2 linked regions of the Medicago truncatula genome follow. The protein of the gene in region 2 interacts with the protein of the main gene of each other region in a pairwise test. Links are inferred from orthologs where the notes say so. Each region holds a gene or a part of one and is shown on either strand. Other genes may lie near its edges.

Evidence for each region.
Region 1: the proteins of probable LRR receptor-like serine/threonine-protein kinase At1g14390 (region 2) and LRR receptor-like serine/threonine-protein kinase FLS2 interact in a protein complementation assay, tested with the Arabidopsis thaliana proteins (2 studies listed by BioGRID). The link is inferred for Medicago truncatula from reciprocal best matches to the Arabidopsis thaliana genes AT1G14390 and AT4G20790.

Annotation. Positions count from the first base shown.
Region 1 is NC_053045.1:45,931,202-45,947,616, reverse strand, and holds LRR receptor-like serine/threonine-protein kinase FLS2, read left to right. Parts: upstream 1-10,447; coding exon 10,448-11,708; intron 11,709-12,009; coding exon 12,010-12,368; downstream 12,369-16,415. Other genes in the region: E3 ubiquitin-protein ligase SINA-like 10, read right to left, coding at 2,632-3,276, 4,888-5,226; DNA polymerase delta subunit 4, read right to left, coding at 6,929-7,122, 7,226-7,376; DNA polymerase delta subunit 4, read right to left, coding at 15,246-15,533.
Region 2 is NC_053049.1:26,872,137-26,888,670, reverse strand, and holds probable LRR receptor-like serine/threonine-protein kinase At1g14390, read right to left. Parts: upstream 9,035-16,534; 5' UTR 8,600-9,034; coding exon 7,396-8,599; intron 6,721-7,395; coding exon 6,587-6,720; intron 6,486-6,586; coding exon 6,242-6,485; intron 5,779-6,241; coding exon 5,585-5,778; intron 5,484-5,584; coding exon 5,443-5,483; intron 5,355-5,442; coding exon 5,243-5,354; intron 4,669-5,242; coding exon 4,432-4,668; 3' UTR 4,239-4,431; downstream 1-4,238. Other genes in the region: uncharacterized protein, read right to left, coding at 14,934-15,332; SKP1-like protein 1A, read right to left, coding at 15,882-16,358.

The sequences.
Region 1 (16,415 bases), on a different chromosome or scaffold from region 2:
TAATTTTAAGCATTAATATAAAAGAATTCCTATTTCCACCTTCCTCACTTCTCTAGCACCCTCAAATTTGACGAAAATACCCATGTTCGGATTTTATAATCCAAACCATTTTCACAAGTTTCAATTTATATAATCTGACTTCCCTAAAAATTCAGAAAAACCTGCAATTTGACCTAGTTCATCCAAATCTTGTTTCAACATGATTCAAAAAATAAAATCAGATTGTCTTATACTCCCTCCGTTCCTTTTTAAATGTTGTGAATTTTTCGTTCCTATTTAACCGTCTTTTCGATATTTTAAAGGCACGATTTGTCAATTTCTCTTATATTTTTCAATAAAATTAATTAATATTATCTATTTGGAAACTAAAGTTTTTTTTTTAAAACAAAGTTTGCTTATTTTTATTTTTAAAACAAAGTTTGTTTCTTGTTATTTTTATCTTCAAATTTAAATAAAATTTTGTTACAAACAATGGTTTTACGAAGAGTTAAAATTATATAAATAAGATGGATAGAAATTGTTAAAAATTTCAAGTGCAAAGTAAAAAAACAGATTTGAGAGAAGAAAAATAAAAGACTCCATGAATGTTCAAAATGAATTTTTTTTTCCCTTTCTTTAGCCATGTAACCAAAAAAAAAAAGAATGTTCAAAATGAAGAAAAAGTGGAAGACTCGTTAGAATTGCCGATGAGAGGTGAAGATGGAGCAATAGTTGAAGACTCATTTGACAAGATGACAATGAAGAAGAGGTTTCATCAATATAATTTTTATACTGACTGAAAATAATTAAAAAAAATGTGCATAATATTTAGAAAATTGACAATTGTTTATTACGAGAGAGATAATGCGCAAAAAAAATAAGAATTTGTTGGAGAAAAAGTTAATACTAACTCATAAGTGTTTGTTACGAGAGAAATATAACATATTAAATTAAAAAGGTGTGTGCAAAAAAAAAATAGAAATTTATTGGTTGATTAAAATGAAAGTACAATAAGAAGAAAATGTGCAAAAATACACATTGCTATTTTTATGTTAATTTTTTAAAAAAACACTTAAAAAGAAACGGAGGGAGTAATTTTTTAATTTCATTTTAGTCTCATAACTATTATTTCTTAGAGTATATTTTAGCTCCTCAGATTTGCTTCGTTTAAAGAAGAATTTGTTACTACACACTAGGGCTGGACAGAATATTGAAAACCGGCCGAACCGGATGGACCGAAGCATGGCGGTTCGGGTTGAGCGGTTAAACCGGTTGGTTGGTCCAGTTGAAATGGTTTGGTGTGACTAATCATGGTCGGTTACGGGTTGTAATATCCAACCCACGGAAAACCGTTTCCGACCGATCCAGCCCACGTAACTAATGTCCAGCCCAAAGTCCAGTTGAACCCACATATATAAACATAAGTTAGAGAACTGAAACCCTAGTTTTTCTTTCTTGTTTGTTTTTCCTCTGCTGCGGCTGCTGTTCTTCTCCATCCATACATCAGAAATGATTCCTTTCCTTCAAATCAAACATCATCCAAAAACACACAAATCTCGAATCATAAATCACAAAATCATTATTTTCTTCCATTTTCCATAAAAAATTTAAAACAAAAATCACAAATTAACAATGTTAATCCTGCCTTAAGAAATATATTCTACTACACTCTGTATTACGTTCTTATTTTATCTTTTGTTGCTCTACTGATCATAGGTTTTAGAGATTAGGCTTGAGCCAAACTCCATGGTATAGATATACACTTGTTTTCAAGCGTTTCCAGAAGTTTTATAGATATAGACATGTCTTGGTATCTATGTTGTATTTTAGCTTTCACACTCAACTAGGATTATTCTTTTGGTTTTCGTCAACTAGATCTCTTTTCTAAGTACTACCTACTGTTTAATCCTTGTTGTGCAGCATCAAAATTATTCTTTTGGTTTTCATCAACTATGATATATTGTGGCACAAAGACCGCTCTTGATTTTTACCGAATTAACCGAACCAAACCACACATTTCACCGGCTTAACCGTCTACACCGAACCGACTAAACCGATGCCTAAGTTGGTCGGAAATGGTTTAGGGATATGCAACCGTTGGTTTAAACGGTTTCAAGTTTTGGAACCGATTTTGATTTCGAACCTAACCGACCCACACATACAAATGACAACAACTTTCTTGACAGCTGTCAACTCCAATTGTGCTCCCATGTAGTAATAGTTAGATATGATAAAATCCTAAATTAAGTGAATGTATTGAAGCAAGTCTTAAAGAAGTGTACACAACTTGATCCTCCGTAACTCCTTACAATATGACTGTAGAAACACTTTGTAACCAACAATTGCACCGTTTTAACGGGATATGTATATAAAAAAGCACATAAATAAACTAAAATAATTGTCACTGAGGCTCCAACAAATTTAAGTTTTTAACATACTACATATTTATAGGATAATTTTGAAACCATAATCCCAAACATTAACAAAAGCATTTTTCATCTCCTACTCAATGAAGGCACCTTTCTTGAGAACAGTCAAATTCAATTGTGCCCACATGGAGTAGTAAATAGTTCAATATGATAAACTCCTAAATGAAGTAAATACATATAGCAATCAACTAAGTTGTAGACTGCTTCAATCTTTAACGAAGGGTTAGTGAGACTTTATACGAATATCCAATTTGAGTTGTCCAAAACCAAAATGATCTGAAGGTATCACAAGAAATCCAGCTGTAGGAGCATCACCATTATTGTCTTGAATGGTCTTCGTAGAAGATTGCAATATTAATGTGCTCCCTTGAGACCTAGCCAAGACATCATAATGAGTATCTGTAATTGCTTTGGGGCCCATGCAACTAATATGGACCATATTTCCGTGTTGAACAATGTGGTTGTGAACAATAAACAATCTTGCGTCATTTTGATCTAGAAGAACGATTTGTTTCTGTCGGGTATTTAAGGAGACAGAAATAAATTTGTCATAGGTAAACTGTATTCCAAAGCCTGCATGTCTGTGGCTGAAGTGGAGAGCTAACTCCTTGGATGAGGCAAGAAAACCGCAGCCTGTATGTGGGCATTTACATGGTATATATATGCATTCCTTCTCGTGGCTACTTTTCATACTGCAACTAAACATATCTTTGCAGCCATATTTTGCATTTGGGCATGATATTTTAATAGATTCCAGCAACTTCTCCACAGCCCGACAACGATTGTACCCAATGGGCATTGAACACATAGGACATTTGTTCCTAAGTTCGCCACAACATTTAGAGCAAGCAATATGCCCATTCTCACACTGAATTGTCATTTAATCACAAAGAAAGTTATCAAATTAGATCTCTCATTACATGGGGCATCAAACCAAACAATAAAAAAAAGTACCCTTGAAAGGCTTGCATGTTGAAGTAGCCAGATAGAAAACCAAAGGAACATACAAAAAAAAGTGGCAAATAATCAAAGAGAGCTCCCTCCCTTTCTTTTGAAGGGAAGGGAGGAGGTAAATTCCTCCTCCTTCTCTTATTGATTACCTTTAAATTACAGCAACCACATAAAACATTATCAATGAACAATGACATTCTTTCTTTCTTTCTTTTTTGAAAAATTGACATGAATCATAATGTGAGGTCACCATCATACTATTGTACTTCAAAAGAAAACATCAATTCAAATTTAAACATTAAAACAAACAACAAACCATGTGATCAACAACTCTGAGCACAAGGAATGCATAAAGTAGAAATTTTAGTAAGTATTGAAGATAAAAAATCATCTTCACAGCGAATTCAACTACAGTCACACATCAGTAAAGAACGGCTTATTAAAAAAAAAAAAATCTAGCAATTAAGACTGTTTTCCATTGTAATTATATGAGCTCAAGTCGTTAAGAGTTTATCGCAAAACATCAGCTATATGGTTATGAGACCCTAAATCATTTACCTATATCGCCCATGACAAAGTTAATTTTGTATTTTGTTTAAATTTGAGTTGCAAGTTTGCCATAGAAATTAATTCATGGTAACGATGAAGACTACTGACTACCATTCAACAAACTACAGTGTATCTCAACCTATTTGTTGATGCAGGTGAATATATTAAAAACAATAGTGCTAAGAAATAGCATTATGCAGCTAGAACCTTTAGAACTCAGAATAGAGTATCAGATCTATGTAGCAAATAGCAATTGATTTTGATTCACAAATTAACACTCATAAACAGAACTTTGAATTCGAGGTTTATATTCAACAAAATCGTTCCTTTTGAACCTTCAAAATACAGAAAGAAATGTGTCTATATAAACACCTATGCCAACAAATTGACCCTCTCTCAGCCACATTTCAGGCATAAGTATAACAACTTACTCAATTAAGTTCATTACATTAAGGGTAGTCCAAAACACCACACAGGCCCACATTGGATGTTACATCCTTCCACATTGATTTTACAGTAAAAAGTTGATTGGATATGGGTGTGGGTGTGGGTGTGTGGTGTTTTGGACTTGACTGTGTAATTTTTCAGCCACGCTTAAACCATGGCCTTTAAAAGGGGAGTCCAAAACACCACACACCTACATCCAATGAACTTTTTACAGTAAAATCACAAAAGTAGACCTGCCATAACAATTTATCCTCGAATCTCAAGGCATTGGGTTTGGGTTCATGGATTGGTTGTGTGTTACAGCGGTTGAATTCATCAATCCGCCAGAGCTGATTACAATTGACTTGCTATGGATGTGAAATTTCTGAAATCCTTTTCAAAAGGAAACTTCTTCACCCAAATTCCAACTCACAATAAAATCACTAACCTAAATCTTCCATCACAAATCAAATAATTCATACAAAAACAAAAAATCACAGCAAAAAAATTCAAGATTTCTAGTCAAAACAGAACACCCAGAAGAGAAACTAACCTGATAAATAGGAACTGCCAACGGTTCAGAGCAAATGAAGCAATCAAGAACATCAGGATCAGAAATGATAGCAGAAACCTTCTTACTCAGATCATTATTCTGTTGTCCCGCGTTGGATCCAACCGAATTTCTTTCATTTGCATCATTTTCTAGGGTTTCAATTGGGGGATTTTCCATTTCAAACCCTTCTTGAGGTTGTTGATTTTCTTCTTCTTCTTCTTCTTCTCTTGTAGTTGTTGCTGCTGCGACTTCTTCACCGGCGTCGACCCTTCGACGCTTCTGATTTGGGTTGCTAGGTCCTTCACCGTCGTCGCAGCCACCAACGGAAAATGTCACCATCGGTGGTTGTTTCTCGTAGGTATCAAATATTTATTATTTCGATAAAACTGCTATGGTTTTAATTTTAACATAAAAAGATGCTGCTGGTTTTGATGTGATAAATTTACCTATGTACTTTTAGAACTACTTCTATTAATTATTTCCATATAGTAGTACATTACTATTGATTATTTTTGTAAGGTAAGAATAATGTCATTGACCCGAATTCATATCTAAAAACTAATAATTTTTCAAAAAAAAACCAAGTCGGTTCAAGGGGACTGCCATTAAAATAAAGGACCCGAATTCACGCGTAATGTTTATGTTAAATATTATTTTCAACGTATATTATTAATTATATTAAATTTTTATTTTAAAAAGTTCTTGCACTAATGCGGTTGAGTCAAATTAAAGGAATTGACTCTCACAATCTTACGAATCAAATTTTCGAACTATAACTAGGAACGATATCCATATTTGATGATCGACATGCCTCCAATTCCTTTATTGAAGAAATGTTATATCCATATTTGGCGAATTGTTGCTCCAGTTAAGACTTTATTGAAGAAATGTTATATCCATATTTGATGATCGACATGCCTCCAATTCCTCACTGTAGAAACTGTAGAAATGATCTACAGTGAGGAAGCAACAATTTTTTATGACATAGTTTGATTCAACTGGAGCTTTTATTTCTCTCAATCTCCGGTTAATTCAAATGGGTGAAATGTGTTCGTTTAGAGTGTCCCTAAGGATAGTTTTGTTAAAATCAATGGTGATAGTTTTGTTACTGATCATGGAGCCCTAACAACTTCGGAATGGTAATGGTATTTGACTTTGAGCTCATCAAGGTGGAGTTTGATTCTCTATCAGCACTGTCCTTATTTCTAATGGCTTTGATTTACACCAGCCATGTTATCCAGATTAGGGATCTCCTCGAGCAGTTGTCTTCTTGGTCTGTTATTCATGTGCATTGGAAAGTTAATAAAGTTGTTGATTGTTTTGCCAAGTTTGGTCTTAACATTTCTTCTAGTGCTGGGATTTTTATTCAATTTCTGTTTTGACTTCTTTTAGTTTTGCGTGTCTGAACCTGTGGTGTCATCACCTCAAATACAAAGAATTGGCTTAAGGACTAGCAGTTCCGTTAGATGATGATTCATTTATACTATATGCTTAAGCTTGTATAAGCAAGAAAAATTGGTGAATCTACAACAAGATATAAACCCCAGTTTTCAGAATTGCTTAATCATAGTTAGTCTCTTTTTACTGTATTTCCTCTTTTATATTGTACATCAAAAAAGTGGTACCTTATACCATAATACCCAATAAGCTAGTAAAATGATGTTTGTTGCAAAATACTAAAAACACTTAATGATGTAAATGCAATAAGCTAGTAAGTTCGAACCAGATTCTAGTTAAGTTCATATGCATTGGAGGGCCATTTATATTCCTCTTTTTCAATTTCATTTCTTGTCAATAATCATGAAATACAAGTATCCGACTTCGAATTTACTCCCTCAAACAGCATGTATCAATTGCACAATTAACAGCATAAGAACAGAACAGAACAGAACAACAAGATATCGAGTCACATAAGAAAACATACTACTACTACTACCAGGGAAAGGGGACACAGCAAGAAAGTGATTTTCCCTAAGCAAAACCTAAACAAACAAACAAGTCAGAAGAAGCTACAACAAGATTATTACATTTAAGCAGCGTTCTAAATGCGAGTGTCCCAAAGTGATTCTTGCTGAACTTTACCACTCTTCAAGAGTTCCGCGATTTCCTCCGGAGGGTTCAAACCAAGCTTCACAGCACGCTCCAAGCGTGCCAGCCTCGTCATCCCCATACAAGGCCCATACTTCATGTTCATGTCAAATTGTCGAAGCACAGCCTCGCTGCCGTTGTGTTCATCTGTAGTAACCGCAACCAAATCATATTAGAAAAATAAAATATATGAAATTAATAAAAGATGAAGGTGATTGGGGGTGAGAAAACCCTAGAAATCAAATTGAACCTTGGAGATCTGGGTTGGTGTTGAGGGATGGTGAAGTGGAGGCGTGAGTTGGAGGTTTTATGGACTTGGATGATTTGGCGGTGGTGGTGAGATTGGTGTTTTTCTTCTGCTTGTAGAAGCCCTTCATATTCCCAGATACCGATGAAGACATTCTCTCTCTCTCTCTCTCTCTCCTTTCGAATTTTGAATTTGAAGAAAATGGTTGAAATTCTCGGGTTGTCTAAAGCACCACTGACCCCACCTTTAAATAACCACGTATTTTTTCCTTTTCAATTTCAATAAAAAGACCACAAGGTTGGTTTATTTAATTATTTTAGTATCATTTCATATTTAAATTGCCATAAAATCATGATAAATGATATCTGTACAATAATTTTTTGATAAATTTCTCTCTTATATTTAAATTATGTTTTATTCGCTCTTTTTTTTTTTTTCCTTCTCTATAGTTTTTGACTGGTCAAATGAGAGAAAAACAAAATTGACATAAAAGTTATTCGAAAGAGTTGTACAAACTCTAAAATCATACAATCATACATCGAGCAAGATTATTATTACATAAAATAAATAGCAATATTTGGTATAATTTTTTTTTTACCAAGTACTACTTCAAATTTTCAAAATGGTGGGGTCGGAGTCGGACATCTCAATTTATTTAAGCTAAGTTATAATGAATTAGAGATCTTGGTTTAAACCCAAACAAAAAGGTAAAAAGTAAACCTAACAAATAAATACTAATATTTATCGTAAAAAAAGTTTTTTTCCTTCAAAATAGTATAAGAGCATAAATATAATTGGGCACGTATGTAAATACAAATTACAACATATGAGTTGTTCAGAGGAGCTACTTCGATGGAGCTCCAAGAACATTCTAAGACTCAAACGATAATACATTGTTCAAGCTCATTAAGTTATGATCCAAAGTCTTTCATTGGATGTCGGGTACGAGTACGACTGTGCATGAACAAGGTTTCAACACATCCGTACAAGGAACATGAAACTGAGACTCGTTTTTAGACACATTAATTATTCGTACATGACACGTAGAATCAGGGCATACATAACTTATGTCACTTTGTTGCGTGGCAGGTCATGATAAGCTTGAACGGAACCACAACAAGTTTATATGCATAGCCGAATTTGGCATGGTTGGTGTGAGTTGAATAATCAAGCTAATGTTGAGTGAGATCTTGTAGATGATGTGATTTGGCATGACTTGAAAATTCAAACCAAACCAATGTTGAGTGAGGAAGAGGTGAGCTAGCATGATTTGAACAGTCAAGCCAATGCTGAGTTGGGCGATGTGAGCTGGCATGACTTGCATAGTTAAATCTGAGTTGGATCTTGCTAGCCAATCAAGTTAAGATATTACAAGCCACATGGTATGATCGTCCATACCAATCCACAATGCATCAAACGTCAAATCTATTATGGCATTTAGACGTTTGTTCTTTATTCAATTGACCTATACCAGTCCACATTTTGCCAAAGATCAAACTTGTTAATGCATATATATTTGTTCTTTATTCGGTCGGCGTATATCAATCCACTAATAATCATTAATGAAATGAATGTTTTATTCAAAATTATTGTTATAAGTTTTTTAATATTACTATTTTTTGGAACAATTTTAATATTATTATTTAGTTATCGTTATAATGATATTTTTTCAATTATTATCATATATATAATTAGTAGAGAAATGCTAGCAACACACATTTTAACACATTGTCTTTGATTTGTTAAAATTCACATGAGACCCAACAAATTTATATGGAACCCACATAATTTGGGGACTCATGTGAATTTTAACCAATCAAAGAAAATGTGTTGAAAAATATGCGTTGATGACCTTCCTCGTAATTAATTAGTATCCTACATTTATAATGATTAAAACAAAGTAAAATAATGAAAATAAAAAAGGTTATATATTCAGTTCAATTTCTATTTTTTTTTACTAAACCATTTCCACCCCTCTATCAAAAAGGTTTTATAATATTTATAACTTGAAGTCACGGGGGGGGTGGGGGGTTGTCAAAGACTAATTTCTATGAGTTATCAAAATATTAATATTAATTCTCTTATATTGATTTAAGTCCAGACTTAAATCTCACCTAATATTACTTATTTGAAGCAGCGTTAGCAAAAAATATACTATACTGCTAATTTTTTTTGAAAGAATACTACTACTAATTGAGTAAATAGTCAATTTTTCCCTTGAAATTGTAGGTTTCGTCAATTATTCTTCTAAAATTAACAAAACTTCAATTACCCTCATGAAATTGCATAACGTTAATCAATTTACCACTCCGTCAAATTTTTCTGTTAACTGTTTACGGTTATGATCAAATACCCCCTGAAATTTTGCACTTATGTGCAAAATGCCCTCTAAACTTAAAAATTTATATTTTTTTATCCTTGACTAAAAATATATTAAAGGTAAACAAATTAACAATTATTGATCATATAAATATGTATGTAATGTATGTTTATGGAGCTATTGGTCATATAAATCTTTATAGAAGATATGTTACTCTCATGTGTTTTAAATATATACATATATAGAAGTTTTTTTTTTTTTTACACAAGTTGGTAATTATGTTAGAGTATGTAGTCATAAAGTACACAAGTCTTTGATAATTGTGTGTCCATAAAGAAAATGCATATGTTTATATCTGCAGAAGGAAGAAGAAACAAGACTTGTTGATAAATATGAAATATAAATGAAAAGACTCCACATGACAAAACCATGATTTCTTTGGCATATATTCATTCATTTTTTTGTGAATAGAATATTTATGACAATAGGTACAATATACTACTTGAAGAACTAAATGTATGATTTTTGATAAGAAAAAAATCTAAATTTTTAAGTTTATGGGACATTTTGCGCATAAGTGCAAAATTTCAGGGGGTATTTGATCATAACCGTAAACAGTTAACAAAAAAATTTGACGGAGGGGTAAATTGATTAACGTTATGCAATTTCAGGGTGATAATTGAAGTTTTGTTAATTTCGGGGGGTAATTGACGATACTTACAATTTCAGGGGGGAAATTGACTATTTAATCACTACTAATTTGTTTAGTCCTTACAGTTCTGTATTGGGTTACGGTTGCAACAAGTGACAATAATGACAGTTATTCCACATCATCACTAAATTAGTTTCCTTTACCAGTTGTTGTTCTGAAATCATCCATCCTAGATAGTAACACATTCATAATCATGGCTACCACCATTTCATCAACTTGCTTCATCTTTGTTCCTATAATTTTATCATCGTTGTTATGTCCTAAAACAACATTATGTGCAACTGTCCTAGAAGACCTCAAAAACTTACACAAACCACCAGATTTCAACACTACCATTTTCAACAACTGTCTCAAAAACCCTTCTCTCAGATACTGCACTTCCTCCCCCATGGTTGACCTTGATGAAATATTCAAACACACTATTGTTGCTAGTCATCTATGCAATGAATCTAACAACCCCAATTGTGTTGAATCATTTCCTAAAATTGATCTTCGTAACCGGCCAAACATTGCATCTCTTTACTTGTCTTTCACTTTCTTTTGGAAATATTGTCCTTTGAGTATTCAATCCATTGATTTCTCCAACAATTCTATAAAGGGTGGTTTTCCAAATGATGTTCTTTATTGCACACAAATTCAGTCTCTTGATTTAGGTATCAATGAGTTTTCTGGTGAAATTCCAATTCAAAGTTTCTCTTCACTAACTAACCTCACTTTTCTTAACCTTTCTTATAACTGTTTCTCAGAGAGTGAAATTTCTGATTCACAATTCTTCAAAAAGTTTAATGCTTCTAGTTTTCTTCATTCTGGTGCTCTTGTTGATCACAAAAAGTTTACTATAAAAGCTATCATTTTATTGGTTGGTTTTCCTATTCTTGTCATTTTGATGGTAATTTTCTTGGGATGGCTTTGTTTTCAAAGACCTGATTTTCTGCCAAGAATACTTCAAAGTAGTAGAGGATATACATTTACACCAGCAATTCTTGAGGCTGCAACTTGTGGTTTTTCGAACAAAAATTTGGTTGGTAAGAGTGATATTGTCCATATCTACAAAGGGGTGTTAAGAGATGCAACTGAAGTGAAAATTGAGATGTATTGGGATGATATATCAAGGGATAGCTATCATAAATTTGTTGAGGAATGCAAGATTCTGTCTGAGTTAAATCACAAGAATCTTGTTAAGGTTTTAGGATGGTGTAAAGGTAGAAAATTCAGGGCTATTATAACAGAATGGACAGAAGAAGAAAATGTTGAAATGTGGCTATCAGGGGCAAGTCCATCATGGAATCATAGAGTGAAAGTTTTGATGGGAGTTGTTGAATGCATGCTATATCTTCATGAGGAGTGGCCTGAAGTTGATTACGATCTCAAGACAAGTAGTGTTTTGTTATCTGATAAACTAGAACCATTGATTTCAAGGTTTCAAGTTGGAGAAAGAAACAACAGTAGAAGAAGTAAGAATCTCTATCACTTTATTAATTTATAATGGCAATATCATGTTTTGGTGCGCACAATTTCTTTCAAATAGTTGAGAGTCGCACGTTAGATTAAGGCAGATTACCCTCCACACTTCAAATATACACATAATGTCAAAAACAAAAAATATGAATAGGAATGTGCGCGTCTTTCTGCTAGTAATAGACAATTACCATGCGCAATCAAGATTTCTTCCAAAATGATATTTTTTCTTTTTTCCTTTTCCTTGTTTTTATGTCTTATATCGTTATTGAATTAATTACTTTTATTATATTATAGAGGTGTGTAAGTTTGGAGTATTTCTGCTGGAGATGATACTAAACAAGAGCGTTCAAGAGGACTTTGATGGAGATGATGCCGGTTTTATTAGCTACATGAGAACTCTTCGTCTTTCAGAAATGCAACAAATGGTTGATGAGAGAATAAATGTTACTGAAACAACTTTGCATCAAGTTAAACAGGCTTTATCCCTAGGATTAATGTGCATAGACCAATCAAGCAAAGAGCAACCAAGCTTGGCACAAATATTTAATATTGTATCAAAGGCATACAAGTCTAACCTTGTTTTGCCATCTGCAAATCATAAAACATTTCATGGAGATAAAGTTATGGGACACAAGCATTTTCAGTTTAGATAAGTCACAATATTAAAGGAAATTTTTCCTTAGATTTAATCTTTAGAACTACCATTAGCTCTGTTCTGACTTCTGATAATTTATTTTGATTATACTTCATTCACTATCGTAGTAGTTTTAAGCATGTATTGTATAGTTGTACTAATTTAGTATATTTGTTGGCTAACTTTTAGCTACACTTAGTGACATATATTTGAATTTGGATCATTTGTAGTTTGTTGCAGATGTTCCAAATCACCTAAATTTGTAGTCAAATGGATGTATCATGTACCCGATAAGAAGGTGCTCAATGGTATAAAATGGGTATACCCTATATATGAGTGTCCATGTATCACTACTAAAACAAATGGATCAAGAATATGTGTTTTTTTCAATGAAGGTTTATTATCTTTTAAAAAGTTGGCTTAATTGATCTGCCGGTCCCTTAATTTATTTCTTTTATTCAATTTGGTCATATAAGTCTTAACTTTCTCAAACACGTCCCTTAACTGATTTCTTTTATTCAATTTGGTCCAATTTTGATAATTTTAATCCCCTAAAAAAAGAGACCGTTGGATTACGGAGGTCTATCAGATTTTATAGTGTATCATCAACACCTAATTTATTTACTTTCTTCTTCTTCTTCCATCATCTTCATCTCCATCCATTCATCCTTCATCAATAAAACCCAGGACAAAAAAATTTAAACCAATTATTTAATCACTACACCACCATCATTGTCATCTTCATTTATCATCATCAACACACTCCAACAACCTTCATCACCTCCCATATCGAAGATCAACAAATTCTTCTCACCAATACTCGTCACTTTTTTGTGAAGAAAATTCCAGACAGCCATCCACAATCCATATTCAAACCGTTTTATATTCCCATCAAAATCTATTTCAATTCCATTTACCCACTCACACTCATCATCAACTCCACCGCTTTCTTCCCCCAAACTCAAACCCTCCTTGCTCCTGTCAGATCTGGAACCAAATAATAACAACAAGTCCGGTGATGACGCGAAAAAAACGACGTTTTAAGGCTTTTCACGGATGACTCCTACCTTTTTGAGTTTGGTTTCGAATGTAACGATTCATTTTGAGCTGGTAATGGATGTCGTGAAATGGAGCTGTTCATGCAGAAAACTGAGTTTGATTTTTGTGTTTGATTGTCGTGAAATGGAGCTCTTTGATTTGAGAGGTTATGAAGGTTGTTGTTTATGTGTTGTTGTTTCTGGAATTTTTATTGAGGTTTTGCTTCTTTATGGATTTTTGATTTTTGTGTTTCTTCTCCTTTTGTGGTGTGTTTATGTTCCAAGGGTGGTTTTGTGAGCTTGTGTTCTGTTTTGTTTGGGATCTTGCCTTGCTGGTGTTCTTTAGCTATGGGAAAGGGTTTTTTTTTTTTTTTGTACCATTTGGATTGGATTGGGGAATTTGGGATTGCAGAGATGAGGATTGATGATGAATCTAGAGAATGGAATTGGAAGAGTGTGATTTGGAATTGAATCTTGGTTTTTTATGAAGATGATTGAAGGATGAATGAAGATGAAGATGAAGATGATGGAAGAAGAAGAAAGTAAATAAATTAGGTGTTGATGATACACTATAAAATCTGATAGACCTCCGTAATTCAACGGTCTTTTTTTTTATGGGATTAAAATTATCAAAATTGGACCAAATTGAATAAAAGAAATCAGTTAAGGGACGTGTTTGAGAAAGTTAAGACTTATAGGACCAAATTGAATAAAAGAAATAAATTAAGGGACCGGCAGATCAATTAAGCCTAAAAAATTTCAGTAAATGTGTACATTACTTGCTCTACAAGTAATTATTAAAAACTAACTAACTTGCACAAAAATAGCTAACAACATTAACTAACAATTTTAGCTACTTATAATCTCAACTAACTTGAACTTATCTCAGCTAACTTGAATTAAAAATTAACAGTGCAGAGTAAAATTTTCCTAGTTGCAATGATAAGTTATATCCAAATTGACACAAGAAAAATAGATTTAGGCCCAAATTGCTTAGAAGTAACAGTTCCCCAAGAAAAAATTGTAAATCTAATAAACAAGATTAGTCATGTATTTCTTCATTCCTTATTCAAAAAAAAAAAAAAATGTATTTCTTCATTCCTGTATTATGCAACAAAAAAGTGGTACCTTACACCACAAAACCCAATAAGCAAGTAAAATCTTGTTCGTTGCAAAATAAAAACACTACTAATGTGCATAAACTCATCAAATCGTGATCGTTACAAAATATATTAATAATGATCATGCAATAAGCTAGTTAAATTCGAATCAAATTCTAGCTAAGACTCACAAACTCAGTCTTTATTGATTTAGTCATAAGGTGTGATACTTTTTCCATGCAAGGGTTGATTTTATATCTTCTTGTTTTATGATCTATAAACATGTGTATGCATGTATCAATTAAAACCATTTGAACATTGTAGTTCAATTTCCGTGACTGCATACATGAGACTCTAAAAGATTCGAAAATATGTTTTCCCAATTTACATCATTGATTCAATATGGTGAAAAAAAGAAAAGGGTGAATAGAGTCAACAATTTTTATGATCAAATTTAATCAATTCACTATTGTTTCTTTGTTACTTGCTTCCCAAGAAACTACTAAACGATGCACAAAAACAAACACACTAACAGAAAATGATTTTTCAAAACACATATATAGAAGTTTCTATCATATCAACCAGCAACATTCACTTAAGAGCCAATTAACATTTGATAAAACTTGTAAAACAAAACACACTAACAGAAACTGATTTTCCCTAAGAAAAATCTAAACAAAAAGGTCCATAAAGAAACAAGATTATATTATAACTAACAGCAAGAAACAAGATTATATATTATACTAACATCTAAGCCTTCTAAACGCGTTTGTTCCATAGGCCTTCTTGCTGATCATTACCACTCTTCAAGATCAGTTCCTTAATTTCCTGCGGAGGATTCATATCCCACTTCTTTGCACGCTCCCATCGTTCCAGCCTCGTCAGCCCAATGCTAGGCCCATAATCCATGTTCAGGTCGAATTGTCGCAGCACCGACTCGCTGTTGTTTTGTTCATCTGTAACCCCACCATTCACATTCCCAGTAACTGATGAAGAAGAAGACATATTCTTACTCTCTTTCTCTTTCACATTTCCAGATGAAGACATTTTCTCTCTCTCTTTCTTGAACCTTTCCCTTTTTGAAAACTGTTTGAATGAAACTCTCGAGTGGTGTAGATAAGTGACTTACCTAGCCACCTTTAAATAGACATACACAGCACACAAGCTTGGTTTATTTATTTTATTATTTGTATCATCATTTTCCTTTTTACATTTTTGTGGGATAAATAATTGACCATTTTTTTATCATTGTAATTGATTGATTTTTTTTATAAAACTGAAATATATTAATTTTATGTAAAAAATGTTTTTTGACAGCTGAGATATGTGTATAAAGAAAATATGATTAAACTTGAAGAATTGTCCGATGAAAATTAGTAATACTAAACAAAGATCGATACTTTTGGAAAGAGTAATGTTAAAAACAATTATTGAGTTAATATTTTTTTTCTTTCTTAATAGTTAAAAACAATAGATAAAAAAAAAAAAAAAGTGAGAGTAAAAAAACAATATGAGTATGAGAGACTTGTCTAAAAGTAATCATAAAATGGTGTTGTACAAATATTATTTCTGTTTCAAAAATGGACTAAGGGCTCATTATGCCGTAGTAGTGGTATGCGGTAAATTTCTATTAGATCAACTTTGTCTAAACGAATCAACCACTATAATCACTTGGCTCTTGAAAACTCTGGTTTGTTTTAATTTTTAATTTTTTTTAGTTTTGATTCTCATTAATCACTTTTTGATATTCTTAATTTATGCTTTGTTTTGTGCAGTTTTTTGCGTTTTGTGTTTGATTATTGGTGAGACTGTTGCGGCGATTGTTGAGTTCATGCCTGTTTGCATTGTGGTCGTTTGATTTGGATTTCATTGCTGAAACAGTGTCGTTGAGGGCAATGTGTTTGCCAATCAATTGTGATCAAATGCTTT
Region 2 (16,534 bases):
TCTTCACTCCTTAATATAGAGGTGTGAAAGAGACGTTGAATTGCCAGCACATTCAAAATAGAGTCGTTTGAAGCTTTTGATCAATCACCAATGATCCTTTGCCTGATATGGTTACTGTCCTAAGAAGGATCAATTTCAAATGCATTCCCATTGTAAAGGAACATCGTTGCAGGCAGAGCTGTTTTTCTTGTCTTGTAACAGAGACAAAATAGAGTAATGGAGGTAGTGGTTGTACACTTCGTACAAACGTACCATGTCAACGCTCTTTTGAGGAACAAGCATCCAATGCGTTCAAATCCCTTCAAAGTAGCCATTGCTTCACTTTTCAGTCTTCTGCAATCCTTAGACGAGGTTGAATCCCATTAAACAGCTTTTGAAGCCTTAAGTTGCATCCTCTGATGAACTGCAGCTTCTGGTGATTTTTAGCTTCTAATAAACTTGCTTCTGATGACGTCATCACTTCAGGAGCACTTTGTCTTCAAGAGCGTTTTATCTTCAGGAGCAGTTTTCTTCAGACGCTTTAAGCTTCCCTTTTTGTTGATTTCTTTGCTCTTTATTGTTCTTCCAAGACCTTTTTAAGATATCAAATTTTGTCTATAATCCTGTACACTTGAACAAATATTAGCATATCCAATTGACAATTTTTAATACTTTTTTTATCATCAAAACTCTTAAGGGTTAATGTTAAACACATTTTGTTCCAACAACCATCAATGCCGGTCAAAAAACGTGTAGAAACACGGTTTTCAACTTAACCACCGTCCAAAATGTTTGAAAAACGTTTTCTTTGTGGTGCAGACCACCGCCCAAAAGCTTCTGGTGTAATTCAGAATGTATAATCCCGAAACATACGATACTGGGGTGAACAAAGGGAGACTTGGGACTTTGAGTATGGTGAGGGTTTGTTCGGATTTTACAATCTGGATTTATTCAGCATTGGATTCTTTTGTGTGTCCCACATTGCACCGACAATTCCTGTGGTCCACAACGCCCACATACCTCTATAAATAGGGGTCCCTGTTTTCATTACAATTAAACTACATTAGACAAAACAACATGGAATTCCCTGGCTTTGATCTAAACACCAAGCTAGAGGTAGTCTACTACAACAGTGGAACAGCACCCCATCTGTTTAGGATTCGAGACAATGTCACCCTCTCCGGGCTGAAGGATGAGCTGGATCAAATCAACCGTCAACTCAACCACAAAGACATGAGGAGGGTGGTCGGAGTTGAATATCGATGTCCATTGTCCGACTCAGCCGGATCTCTTTAGCTGGATGAAACTCAAGAACGACGACGACCTGCGAACCATGTTCTCTGTCCTTGGTCAGCACAGTACAAGAGGACTGATCGAGTTGGACACTTCGTTGGTTAGATTTGCTGAACAAATTCTGAAAAGTTTGCACCGGACCAGGAACTACGAAGAGATTCGGGCTCTGCTAGAGGGACCAGAGGAGGAAGAAGTTAGTTTAGATGATCCATGTTTTACTTAATCACATGTTTTATGTTGTTTTAATTGCATGTTAGTTATGTGTTGTTGAATTAAGTAGTTGCATTATAGTTTGAATAATATATATATATATATATTATTTAAACTTTCATTATGTTTTAATTTACGTCAAATATGTTCATATATTCAATAAAATAACCAAAGATATGATTTTCGGATTACGAAATCCGGATATGCCTAGGGCTTATCTGTGTTCCGGAAAACGAAATCCGGAATACCTCAGCATAAGATTCTTTTGTATGGACCACATTGCACTAGGAGTTTATGCGGTCCACAACATCCAAAGACCTCTATAAATACATCCTCTCCGGTTTTTAGCTTCAACACCATTAGAACACACAAACACAACAAAGAATATCATGAAATTTTTTGTCATTAAGCTGAGGATCTTTCTCATGCGGTCGCAAATAGATGAGTTAACTCTCTATTTGACTGCATGATGAAGATCCTCAGTATGCTGTCAAAAATACAAACAAACACACCAAAGAGACCATGCAAATTTTTGTCATTGTGCCGAGGATCTTTCTCATGCTGTTTTAAATATATATCTCTATATAACCGCATGATGAAGATCCTCATCATGCTGTCAAAAATATATAGATACTGCTTGATGCCTCCTTGATACATAGATAACTCAAAAATATCAAGAGGTTGCTATGAGTTAGATCTTGCTGCCTGCCAGATGAATATGTCATTTGGCAAGGCAGTAAGATCTAACTCAAAGAAATCCTCTTGAAAACACCTTCCCAAAAGATTCATCATTTCTGTTATTATGGTTTTTTTTAACTGTTTATTTGTCTTATGTTGCTTCAATTTATGTTATGTACCTTTGTTTTATTTTTTTCCAAGGCAATTGCAACAAAAACGATCCAAACAAAAGGGTCTGACGCAGTTCGGATTTTAAAATCCGGAATAGCTTCATGCATTCCAAATTATAAAATCCAGAAACCCTCAGTAACATTTTGGCTGGTGACGTTTCACCAAAGGTTAGGCCGGTTAGTGGAGTTTTAATACGTTTTTTTTGGACGGTTTTGAATGAAAAACACATTTTCCTTGACTTTCAAATTACCTATGACTTGTTTTAGGCTATAAAAAGGCTTAGATCTTCAACATTTTCCTTCATTCTTCTTTACCCTCCTTTCTTACATTTTCTTCAAAATTTTTTAGTTTTTTAGGTAGATTTTAGGAGTGTTAGTGGTGTCATGGTCATTGTTGACTGCTCATACGACCCCTTCAATTGCATTGCAGCTTATGCAGGGGTCGTATAACGGTCAACAGAGACCCTGACATCAAAGAAAGACACAAAATATTCATATCGTATTTGTCCGGATTATATATTCAAGAAACACTAACAATCTGGTCCGAATTACGTAATTCAGACCAGAGGTATTTATAGAATTTTTGCAGCAGGGCGGGAAAAGTAATAGTCATAAATTTTTATGCCCCAGAGTATGTAATGGCACTCATACTACACCAAATCTAGTCTTTCTTCTTCCACACCTTTCATCTTCCTCATCCTCAACCATAAATCCATCATGATCATTCAACTCATGAGTACTCCCTCTCCTTCCTCTTCCAACCCTTTCTCTTCCTCCTCTCTTTCCCTACCTCTATCAAGATCAATTTTTTTTCAAGAGATGATGTATGCTAAATTATTTAATTGGTGTAACAACACCAAATCCACTCCCTCTTCTTCCCCTTCACCTTCCACCCCCTCTTTTTTCTTCGCCGATAAATCCATCATAATCATTTGATGAGTTAATCTTTAGTTAACTAATATTGATTGATGGTGGAGTTTCTCTACCTTAAACACACATGTAATTATTACTAATACAAGGGAACAAGGATTTCAATATAATAAGTGTATACTTGATAATAGTACAATTCACATAAATGATGAGTAACCCTCTATTTAAGCTAAGCTCCATTTACGATTTGGATGTAAAACATGTGGCAAAAAATATGTAAGGGTTGAGATTTTAAATTAAAAAACAATAAAAGATGTACCGTTCCACACCCTACTACGCCAAATCTATTCCTTGTTCTTCCCCTTTCACACCCCGTCTCTTCTTCTTCATCCATCATAATCATTTAACCAATGAGCTAACATTCAACCAATCCATCCTAAAATCGATCGATGGTGGGGAAATCTTCTTTCTTTCCTCCAACTTAAACACTTAAAGACAAGGTGTAGACTTTTCATAATATAAAAGACCAATTTAAAACTAAAAAAAACTAAAAAAGGATTAATTTGGTACAAACTTTAAATTTAAAGGACCCCGTGATACATTTGGTCTAAGCATTTCGATATCTTTAAAGCTCCAATCATGTTATCCTTGATCAGTTCGAAATTGAATCACATAATTTCAGTCCTTAAATACACTACAACATTCAAAAGTGCTTAGTTGGTAATCTAGCAGAAGAAATACAACTTTTTTTGCATTTCAAGTAAGGAAGAATGTTGATTTTTGAGGAATTTGAAGGTTTATTGTTGACTCTGTTGATTTTGGACGTGTCATAAACTGGTACTTGAGAATATGGTTCTTAGTTGAACAAATTGTTTTATATTCCAATCTATGTAGTTGTAACTTCCTTTTGAATGTTTGTCACATTGTTTCTCATAAATATATTTTGTGTTAATCATCCGGTAAGGGATCTTTGATAATCCGGAGTTCAACGGTGAGATAAATATAGCCTGATCAATAATCGTTCCACACAAGAATAGATTTACAGGAGCCAAAATACAAATATGATAGGAACTTTAATAATAATATAATTTATACATAACAAATATGAAAAATGTAGGACAAAATGTGTTATTGGCCTTATGGAAGAAATTAAATATTTACATTACCATTTTATTCATCATGATCAATGAACTTTTGAAACACAATCAGACAAATTTTATTGACAAGAGGTTTAAAATTTTGTGCTGAGGTTCCCACTGCTGGTCCAATTCTCTTGAACTTGCATTGAATACTGTAAATTCCATAGAACATCCTCTATTGAAGGACGTTTACTAGAAACCTTAGAGAGACAATTGATTGTTATTTGAACTGCAGTGCTCATTGATTCATATGCATAACTCCCGCGTAGAGAAGGATCAATTGCACTTCTTAGTATTTGCGACGGTGCTTCTGATGAACCTCTTTCCAGCTGAATATGACAAAGATGTAATTAAAGATAAGAAAAGTAGTCTTTAAATCGGATATCGAGTTTAAGGAATGTGTATTGAGTCTATTGACAGTATAAAATATTTTTACACGGTCATCTTATCAATCAAAATGATTTTTAATGTCGATTTGTTATATTTTTAAAATATCTCAACAAACAGGTGATAGATAAAATTTGATTAGATAATGCGTAAAATAGATTTACATGTTCGGCAATGTTTTTCATGTACCAAAACTCATGTTTTAAAAATCGGATGAGATACCAAATCTGTGAAACCTTTGAGTCATGGTTTAATTAGTTCAATCAGTTCAGTCATGGTTGAACCAGATGACACATAAACTATAAAACAATGAAAACTAGTTGAACTGCAGTTTAACTTGTCGGTTCAGCCAGTTCAACTGGACTGCAACGTAACTTATTCTCGGTTCAACTGGTTGATTCAGTTCGATTTTTATAATATTGACGAAAACATTTATCATGTAAGATGAACAATCGTTATAATCTTCGAGCACTTTATGAAAAACATGTGACAAAGAACAGATGTAGTAATGGATACCTCATCCTTGAGCTGCTCTACTTCACTGGAGGATGCAATTTGTCTACCAGTAATGACTTCAAGTAGAATAACACCTAGCTGATAAATATCTTCTTTTTCTGCATAGTTTGTGCTGCACATGGATTTAAATTTCAAAATACTATCTTAGGATACAGTGAAATATAACATAAGATCAAGTGATTAATTAAAATGAGATATACCTTCCATTTTGATTCGCGGAACTTGGTTCATTAACTGTGCTCTGAAAATTAATCAATGCATAAATCATTCCATGTTAGAAACTTAGATGATCATGCAAATATTACTGAAAAAAATTAATCAAATCATGTATTCTGTCCTAACCTTAGATGGCAATGGAATTCTGTATCCACTAACTTTTGCATTAAGACTATCATCTAACAAAATATTCTCAATCTTGAAATTGTTGCCAAATATTCCAGGAGCAACTCCTGTATGTAAGAACTGAACTCCTCTTGCAATTCCTATGCTGATTGCCATTCTTTGTGGCCATTTTAGCATATCCTTCTTTTTCCCATCTGTTAAATAAATCTCATGTCATGTCGCATTTTTTGACATTCAAATCTTTGCTTTGACATTCATATCATGACATTCAATTTAGTCCTTCTATTAACCAAATGTTACAAAAACGATGATGTTGCAGAAGGACTAAATCGAAAACGTTTACAAATTTAAAAGACTTATGTGTGACTAAAATAACTTAAATGACAAATCTATTACAAACATCAAACTTAAAGGACTTAGTTGTGATCAATATAACTTAAATGACCAATCTGTTACAAACCTCAAACTTAAAGGACCTATGATGTAATTTTGACTAAATTTAATTTTGATACTTTGTCAATGTAAAATGTTTTACATTGTCAACAAATCACAATCTACCAAACACTTTTATGATCTGACGATTATGATTGATCGACAATGTAACTCAGAGTCTAATATGAATTAAATTCTTTATGATTTGATGATGTGATTGTTTACCTGTAAGTTGATCCCTTAATGACACATTTGAGATGTATTCAAGTACAATGAAGACTGTGCATGTTACTTGAGGAGGGTCCTGATGAGTAATGACACAGTGTCCTAGAACACTCACCATATGTCTATGCCTCAAATTTTGTAATGCATCTAATTGCTGCATAATGCTGTGTGGTAAACCCTTTTGCTTTATTTTTATACAATTAATTAGGACCAATGAACCATCCCTCAACGAACCTTTATATATCTGTGTAAATAAGATAGTAAATAATTAATATCATGGGGTCCATTTTTCATTACAAAGAACAAGTTATGAAACCTTGAAGATTATAAAAAATATTCTTTTACCTGTCCTTGTGATCCTTCTCCTATTAAATTTGATTGGTCAAAGTTATTGGTTGCATCTTCAATTTCTTCTTCTGTGAAAATATTGTATGGTGGCTGTCCATGTGTAGCTAGTCTCATTGTTTGAGGAACATGTCCTGTTTTCATAGGTCAGATCAAATTAATGCAATTTTTAATTGAAGGAATTTGTTTTGTTGTATTAAGAGAATATGAGTGAAAAATAATATAAAAATTATTTATTGGAAAACAAATAGAGAAAATATCAAATAAAGTGGTTAATTAAATTCAATTAAAGTTGAATAATATCGAATTTGACTCTTGGCTTTAAAAATTATTAATCAGACTTTCCTTACCACTCGACCAGATTATGAATTACTAAAAGTAAAAACAAAAAACAAACAAAAGAGCAAGTTTATGACAGCATGTACATCTTTACAGACACTTCCCTACTAAATAGTAAATAAACTACTAAAATTACTGTTCATGAAAACAACATAGAAAATACTATCATGACTGAAACACTATGGATTTTTCAACAGTTAATATCTTCTCAACCTATTATATGTATTTTCTATTTTGTTATAACACATCGGTAAATCACGAAAAAAGCTTATAGTCAGAGGTTTGACCAGGAGATAAGTAAAACCTGACTATAAATTATTACCGTTAGAGTTCAAACTCAAGTATTTAACCTTAGTTGAAACTTATTAATCACTTCGATCGTTGGTTGGGATGCATATGATTTAATATATCATAAATTAATTTACAATAAATGATAAATAAATAAATAAACATAATGATAGTGGTCTTACTTGCATTCAAATTTGATTTATCTGAAAACTTATGAGCAGCAGATCTATCCATATTATGATTCAATCTTTCTGGTTTTGATTTCCACAAGATGAACACAATAAGCAAAGCCAAAACACATGCAACTCCAACAACACCTCCAACAATAACAAGAACAAGTCCTAATTTCATACTTGATTCCTTTTTCACTTTTCTTTTAGGAGGCTTAACAGCTAAAGCTGCATCTTTTTTGCAATATGAAGATGCATGTTGATTTCTTGTTGATAAACAATTCCCAGAATACAATACTTTACCCTTTGAATTCATAATGCATGATGGTAATTTTCCTACTAGAAAATTATGTGAAATATCAACATAATTCAATGATGAACTACAAGGTGAATTCATTGAAAGATTACCACTAAATTTGTTTGAAGACAAATTTAGGTAATGAAGTGAATGTAATGAGAATATGGAATATGGAATTTTTCCAAAAAAGTTATTGGAAGAAATATCAAATATTTGAAGTTTATCAAAGTGTACTATCATAGAAGGAATTTGTGATCTTATAGAATTTTTGCTCAAAATAATTTTCACAAGATTTTTTCCAATTGAAGGAAATTGTGGACCTAACTTATTTCCATCAAAATTAACCTCTTCAAGAGAGGTTAAACTCTTAAGATCTGGAATATTTCCATTGAAAAGATTATCAGCAACAACAATACTCTTCAAATTCTTCATTGAAGAAATTGAAGAAGGAATTTCACCAGAAATGAAATTTGAACTAATGTTGAGAATTTCTAGTGACCAAAACCTGTTGATTTTTGCAGGTAATGGACCCCATAAACCTAATGAAACCAATGACAAAACCTTCAAATTTGAAAGTTTTGTCAAAACAGTGAAAAATGAATCAGTTGAAAAAGCTCCTGAAAGTGCTTGAAAAGGTTTGTTGATATGTGAAGATGGAGATGTTTTGTTTCCAATGATAGTTAATTCGGTTACGCGACCGTTCGAACAAACTATTTTGAGTGAAGGTGAAGGAGGGAGGAAACAAAAATTTGTCCAATTGTTCCATCCTTGAAGCACTGGTGGATATTCTAAAAGTTTTTGAACTTGGAAAAGAATTCTAGTTTCTGTTTGTGCTAATTGTGCAAGTGAAGTTGGAATAAGAAACACAAGAATGATTGTTGGAAACAAATAACAAAGTTTAAGACACAATTTCTTCATATTCAGAGTTTGGATTGAAAGAAAAGTGAAATTGCTAAGATGACATGATTTTACTAAGTGGGTGTATAAAACAAAATCTTTGATCAATAATTATGATGACTTTTTTTTATTCTGTTTTCTTTGATCAATAATTAGGAGAGGAAAGCTATTAAGTAGAAAAGTTACTTGTCAAAAATTCATGATACAATGATTGCAAAAAAGGGTTTTACTTTTTGATGAAAAATTATTAGTATAAAGAATTAACTGGGTGATGTTGGAGTAGGTAGGTAGGAAATGGGGGGAGGAATTAAGTTTGCAAAAAGTGGATCTGAGATCTGAAAAGTATGGAGTTCAAATTTTGATAGAAGGGACCTATAATTAGAAAGAAATAGTTTTGGTGAAGGAGCCTTTTTTGTTACACACACATCACATGAAAGAGTGCAAAGGTGTATTAAAGTAGGGTATGCAAGCCATGATACTCCCTCATGGCATATTTGGAATATTTACTCCTCTAAAATTTAAAATTTATTTACTTTTTGTAATAATATTTTCACATTATTTACTTGTCAAACTAACTACTTCAATTAGTATATTTTCATTGACTCATATTATATGTCTCACTTTTAGTCAAAACAATGTATTTAGACAAAAGTATGTACAAGATAGAGGTAGTAGTAGTTTCGGTCTTAGTTTAAAATTTGGACCACATACATCAGATTTTGTCGATTAAACTTTAACAAACACATTTTAATCATTTTATGTGTGTTTATCCCTCGATTTCAAGGGAAAATATATCTTGATAATTTGGAGTTCGACCTTGAAATAAGTAAATATGATAAAAAAACTCTTTTACTTAAAAATAAAACTCATATTCTCATGAACAATTCGATTGCTGACGGATATTCAACTAGTATTTTTTTAAAGAAATGCATTACCTAAAATGATACTCTACTAGTTATAAGAGTGTGGTAGTATTAAATAGCCACTAGGTTAGTTACTTGTTACATTTTCCAAAGAATCCAAGCTGTGCCAAACTGCAAAATGCCAAAGACAGCAAAGTCAACATAGCTCTGAAATCAAAGTAGCAAATGAAGGAACGTCGGTTTTGACCCATTTATGTGAGTATGTGAACACTGCTTAAACTAAAGAGTTGTTAAAGTAGTAACTCACATGCGATGCCACGTGACTTTTTATATGGAAAGTATAAATTACACAACACTATTGGTTATGGTAGAGTCCTATTAAGAATCATTATTTTACTTCCTTCTCCTTGCATCTTTATGATGGTGTTAATATTTTGAGGATGTTTAAATCTCGATTTTTTATTCCTAGTATGTGGAGAAGAGAGGCAACAAAATTGGTACATAAATATAAGGAAAATACTATGGTAAAGTTATGAGAATGACTTTTTTGGTGAAGTTAACACTATAATATCAAAAGTGTTAAGTGTAACACCCCACAAAGTATAATACTCAAGATTATCACATGATATCAACAACTCTGTTAAAGATGCCAACGATAAAATAGTACATGTAAGTCCAAGATGTTGCAAGCATTACTAGATGAATTACTATTGTTCATTAATCAGTAATCAACAATTTAAAAATAAATCAAACATTAAGATTAAAATTAACTTTTTTAAAACAGGTTTATGAAAGGAAGTAAACATACTAAAACAGGTTTTTACAAACAAATCACATATGTTATGCATATGAACAAGAATCCTTTTAGAAACCATAAAACATGAATAATTACTTCGTTGTAAAGTAGCATATGTACAATCGACACACAAATGAGTTTTGGTCCACCATATTGCTTTTAATTTATAATAATTTAGAGAGGTATTATTTGGACAACTATTTGGTTGATGATTTATTTGACAACAATAGATTTACAAAAAAATAAATAGATATTTACACGAAAATCAAACAAAAGAAAGATAAAGTAAAAACACAATGTAAATAATATTCCCTCCGGTCCTATTTATAAGAAAAAATTGACTTTTTAGATTTATTGTATAATTAATGTATGAGTTTTTCTAGTTGCACCCTAGTTAATCATGGTTGCACCCCAAAATGACAAGATTACCCTTTCATAAAATTTGATTTTCAAAAAGCCTATTCCTTCTTTTTTGGTTACACCCCAAAACCATTCTTCCAAAACCATAATTCTCCAATCGATCGATTGTGTTCTGCGAAGATTTTCAAAACCATACTTTCTCACGTCCATTCATGATTTCAAAGAAAATTCGAAGCAAATCAGGTTAGCAAGTGTTGTTCTTCAATCGATTGTGTTTTTCTTTTTATGGGTTCTCAGTTCTGATTTTGTGTTTTCCTTGTTCTGCGATTCGCAGTTCTGCGATTTTGTAAACTCAGTTTAAGTAGGTTCATGTAAACTCAGTTTAAGTAGGTTCATGTTAACTCAATCTAAGTAGGTTCATGTAAACTCAGTTTAAGTAGGTTCATGTAAACTAAGTTTACATGAACCTACTTAAACTGAATTTAAGTTAACCTTGCCAATGTAAATTAAAACCGTAATCGTACAGTGCATCATTGCAGTTGAAGGAAAAAAATTGAAACTAGCAAATAGAAGAAGAAATTCACTTACTTATATCCAATTGAGTATGGATGAAAAATATTTTGATTCACTCTTTAATTTTCATGGAGATTGATATTGAACATCAAATTGTTTGATCGATCGCTTTGTGGGGCGAAAGAGGGTGAAACTCACCGACAATGAATAAAATTAGGGTTTTAAGAAAATTTATATAAAAGGGCAATTTTGATATTATAAATTTTTTTTAAGAAAATTTGGGTGTAACCAGAAAAATATGGGGTGTAAATAGAAAAACTCTTAATGTATCTTGTCTAGAATATATATTAAATACATTATTTATGTAATAAATTAAAAAAGTTAAATGTTTCTTATAAATAGAACCAGAGAGAACATAAGAGAGAAAATTGTTATAAAATGATTGACAAATATCATTTCTAAATAATTTAGCACCTCATTGTCAAAAATTATACCCTATAACTATTCATTGGGTGTACTTATTCAAAGAAAGAAAAATTTCGAATGCGTGTAGAATTTGGAGTTTAGTGCCATTGTGTTTGTGTCGGTGAGATGTTACTCTAAAATGAGGGCAAACTGAAGATAAGGACCAGGGTTGCTATATAATACACACATTCTTTAGTAACATGGGTGACACTGACACATTTTTTTTAATGTGACATGAATTGAATTATTCTACCTAATTCCATTTTAGATTATTGTCCTGGCTGTTCCTGCATTTTGGAGAGTATAAGAATTAGTTATCTGCATGCAAAAGTAGTGTAGGACAACCTGTCAAGATCCGGTTTTAGGGTAAAGTATTTAGCTGCTACTTTTTATATTCTTTAAATTTAGTAAACTATGTACACCATTTTGGATTCTATATTTTTTGTCACAATTTGATCGTTTTAACAATTTTGTTTAAATGCATGATGATGGAGAAGTCAATTTTGGATGGTCATGTTCCTAATTAAGAGAAGAATTTTCACTTTGAAGTGCTGTTTAATATTATATTAAAAGAGAGGAAGATTTTGCTGAATAGATAATGCTGGTGTGCAGATTTTGTTCAATCTTACAAGGAGGATTGACACCTCGGTCCTTTGATGTTTGTACTAGTGAAGGGTCTCGTTGTCACATATCCTTATAGAGCGCACATGGATCAGATTATAGATACAAACATCATATAATCAGATCCATGTGTAAGAAGTCCAGAGCATCACCCTCTATTCAGAATGAATCAACTACATATCTCACCTAGTTAGTTATATGGTTGAGCGAGAATTGTATAAGTTTGGATTTGTTAATGTCATTCCCAGGCATCAAGGTCAACCTGCTTTACCTGTGATGACCTGAAAGCAAGTGTTTGTAGCTTATACCAACTTTCTTGAGTGTGTGTTTTTTGTTGAGGACTTGGGATCAAATGCACTGCACGGTATCGAGACATCATTTGGATATATGAAACTGTCTTTCAGGATTTCACATCTGTATATGTTACACCGACCCGTTGGGGATTGTCCTAGGCCACTTAAGCAAGAAGTCGTTGATTATATTGCTGATGAAAAGACGGGGAAAATGTAGATAGTATACATGGGCCCACTTCTAAGACGCATCAGGGACAAAATGTGACGTCCTAAACCCAAAATGCAATAAATCATGCAAATAAATCATTTATTCGAAATAGATTAAGATGACACGTCATCATTTTCTAAAAAACATGCATAATCTGATTTTCATAAAAACTAGCAGCGGAAAAAAAAAAAAAAAACATCATAAATATCTCAACAACATGTAATCATCCTCAAAGTACATAAATAATAAAATATCAACACCATGTCTCAGGTCTCATATACACCTCCGGTCACTATTATAAGCAAAAATTCTCTTTTTAGATTCATTCAATAAATGATGTATGTGATCTTTATATAAACCACATACATCATTTATTGAATGAACCTAAGAAGTGAATTTTTGCTTATAATAGTGACCATAGGGTGTACATAACAACAGTCTCAACAATAAATCCAACAACAGATAAATAACATAAAATGCATAAGTCCCGATATTCCTAATCAGAGCTTAATCTAGACTCCACGCAAAAGATGAAGAGGTAGCTCCAAGCTAATCCTTGAGCACTCACAAGCAATACGACTCAAACCTGCACGTCATCTACACCATTTATACAAATGGTGAGGCGGTCAACCAAACGACAACTAGGAGTTAGATAATATTCCACATAGTAAAATAAAAGCACAAAATAGAATTCAAGGATTTCAAACATCACATATATACATGCTCATCATCCTAGAATACTAACATCGTATGAATATTGTCATAAAATCAATGATAATATATTCAAGCATATCTCCTTCTTCAATCAAATTATCATCAATAACTCATCACCTTAACAACATTATCTCAAGCGTACTAATATCACCAAGCAAACATATTCAAGTACACAACTCCACATAAATCACATTATTCACCAATCACATATAATTCACATAATTCATCAAGTCATATAATCAAATATGACACATTTCACACATCTCATGTGCATGTAATGGTCTAGACACGACTCTGCATGCATGTGGTACCATTTCCATGTCGGAGGTAATTTTGCCAATTGATCCCTCTACATATTCTCCACATATTCTCGACATAAAGGACTACTTATGAATGTATGAATTTCAAGTATTACCTCGATAATGCACATCACCAATTAACTCTTCATACTCTACCTTTTTACCACGTTGCATTATCAAACAATACATCCATACATCAATAATTACCATCAATTAATCATCTCTACATATTTATTATCAAGTATTCATCTCTACATATTCATCATCAACAATTATTAAACAATTATCACCACAAGGAAACAACATTGTTTCATAAAGCACAATCCACGTAATAGACGAACAATCACTCACATCACGATGACCAACATATTATACACCAACCAATCACTGATTCACACTTATTTCATAATGAATAGAAAGTCATTTGCAAGTTATCAAATCATAATTCCTCATTTTTCCAAAGTTCTTATATTTTCACAAATATCGTTTATTTTCAAATATCTCATCAAAAGTAAGATACTGTGCTCTTACATATAAATAAATCATTATATTCCTATATATCATCTAACATCATAATAGTTCAATCATAGCATCTTCATTTTACAAAGTCAATTTATTTCTCAAAATTCACAACGTTTGACTCATTTTCTTACCACTAATGGGTTAGGTTAACTCATCTCATAATGGATCTAGCGTCTCTTACCACTTAATTAAAAAGTTACTACCCACTTAACTCATTAAAACATCTCATTAATTACTATCTCAAAACAATTACCTCAAGTTACTACTAATATTAGTAAAAATAATTATTCACACTAAAACACTAAAATACTCTTCATTCTAAAATTACTAGTTTACCCTCGCTTCTCAAATTACCAAAATACTCTTAGTTCTAAAATGACTAAAATACCATTTCTTGCCTAAAAATTCACTAATCTCAAATCAAACACACAAACGAGAAATTAAACACACACACACACACACACACACACACACACACACACACACATATATATATATATATATATATATATATATATATATATATAAAATAATCCGAGCGAAAAACAGGTTGTTACAACTCTCCCCCACTTAAAGAATTTTCGTCCTCGAAAATTACCTGAAGAAAACAACTCTGAACACGATTCCTTCATCAGACTCTCCGATTCCCAAGTAGCGCTCTCACCGGTTGGTCCAAACCAAATCACTTTCACCAAAACGATCTATTTTCCTCTTGACCTCCTCACTTCTCGATGTTCAATCCTCACCGACCAAGTCTCAACGGTCAAATTATCAATTACTTCCAAATCATCCACTTGAATCACATGTGACGGGTCATACACATACTTTTTGAGTTTAGATACATGAAATACACTATGAAGATTCGACAACAACGGCGGCAACGCAATCCGATACGCTACTGCTCCCACTTTCTCAATGATCTCAAATGGACCAATAAAATATGGTGTCAACTTCCTACACTTCAAAGCACGTTCGACACCGGTCACGAGGTTCACTCTTAAAAACACATGATCTTCAACTTGAAACTCAGTATCTTTCCTTCTCTCATCATGGTAACTCTTCTTCCTACTCTGAGACGATTTCATCTTTTCCTGAATCATCTTAACCTTTTATGTAGTCTGTTGAACAACTTCCGATTCTAGGGGATGATTTAGGGTCAAAAATTGGTTCTAAACCACCACTTATTGATGGGTAAAGAAGATAAAAAGAGAGAAAAATAATAGGAGCGGCGGCTAGGCTTAAGAAAATTGTTGAAGTTAATCGTAACATCTCTAAATAGTGATATTTAATTTTATAGTTCTGTAAAAAATTATATCATCGAAGAGAGTTCACCTTTTTTTTTTTTTTTGAAAGAAAAGAGAGTTCACCTTTTGTTTAGGATCCAATTGTAAACAACATAGATGACATTAAATTATTTTTTAATCTAAACTTTCAAATTAATTATAATAAACTTTTTATCAAATAACCTTGATAAAATCTTATGCTCATAAAATTCAAACTATGTAACTTATTCCATGAAGTCTACATTGATTGTTTCAGGAATGGAATGAAGCGTAACATAAAACCCACTGGAAATTTCTTGAGTGAGATTGTAATTTCAAAATAAAATAATCAAACAAAGCATTAGAGACTAAATTGACAGATTCATTTTATAACCATTGAAAAGCCTGATAATGCTCCTGACGAACTTCCGCTTCTTCCTCCGGAGTATAATCATTCACAATGTTGAAAGTCTCGCGAATCTCCTCTGGTGGCTTATTCTTCATCATATCTGCTATGGTCTTACATGTAAGATCATACAAGTTCTTGATGTTCAAATAGTTTGCAGCCAAGGTGAGTTTCATGAGTGTATATGGATCAACCTTGAGAAATTCAGTATCCCAAGCATTAAGAGCATCCTCAGAAGGTTTTTCTTCGGAACTTGTAGCCTCAACATGCTTCTTGCAATACTCAATAACTTTCGCCAAGATGTTTCTGGTTACTTGCAAAAGAGGGATTCCAGCGTCATCGACACAACCAGCCTCGATCACATGCTTGATTGTTTGTGACTCCATTGCCACAACCTCGTCGATTTCAAAGGTCTCGCCGTCGGAACTTTTCAAGGTGATCTTCCTCGTTGATGACATGATTTTGCTCTTCCCCTATTTCAAACGTAAAAACCCTAAAAAAAATTGGGTAAGAATATAGAGTGAGTGAACTGAATTTATACAACATCGTGTTCAAATAATAAAATAACTATTCCCTATCTTTTTTAAAAATAATCATAATCCCATGACCAGTCATTAACCATGTCGAGGTCCCT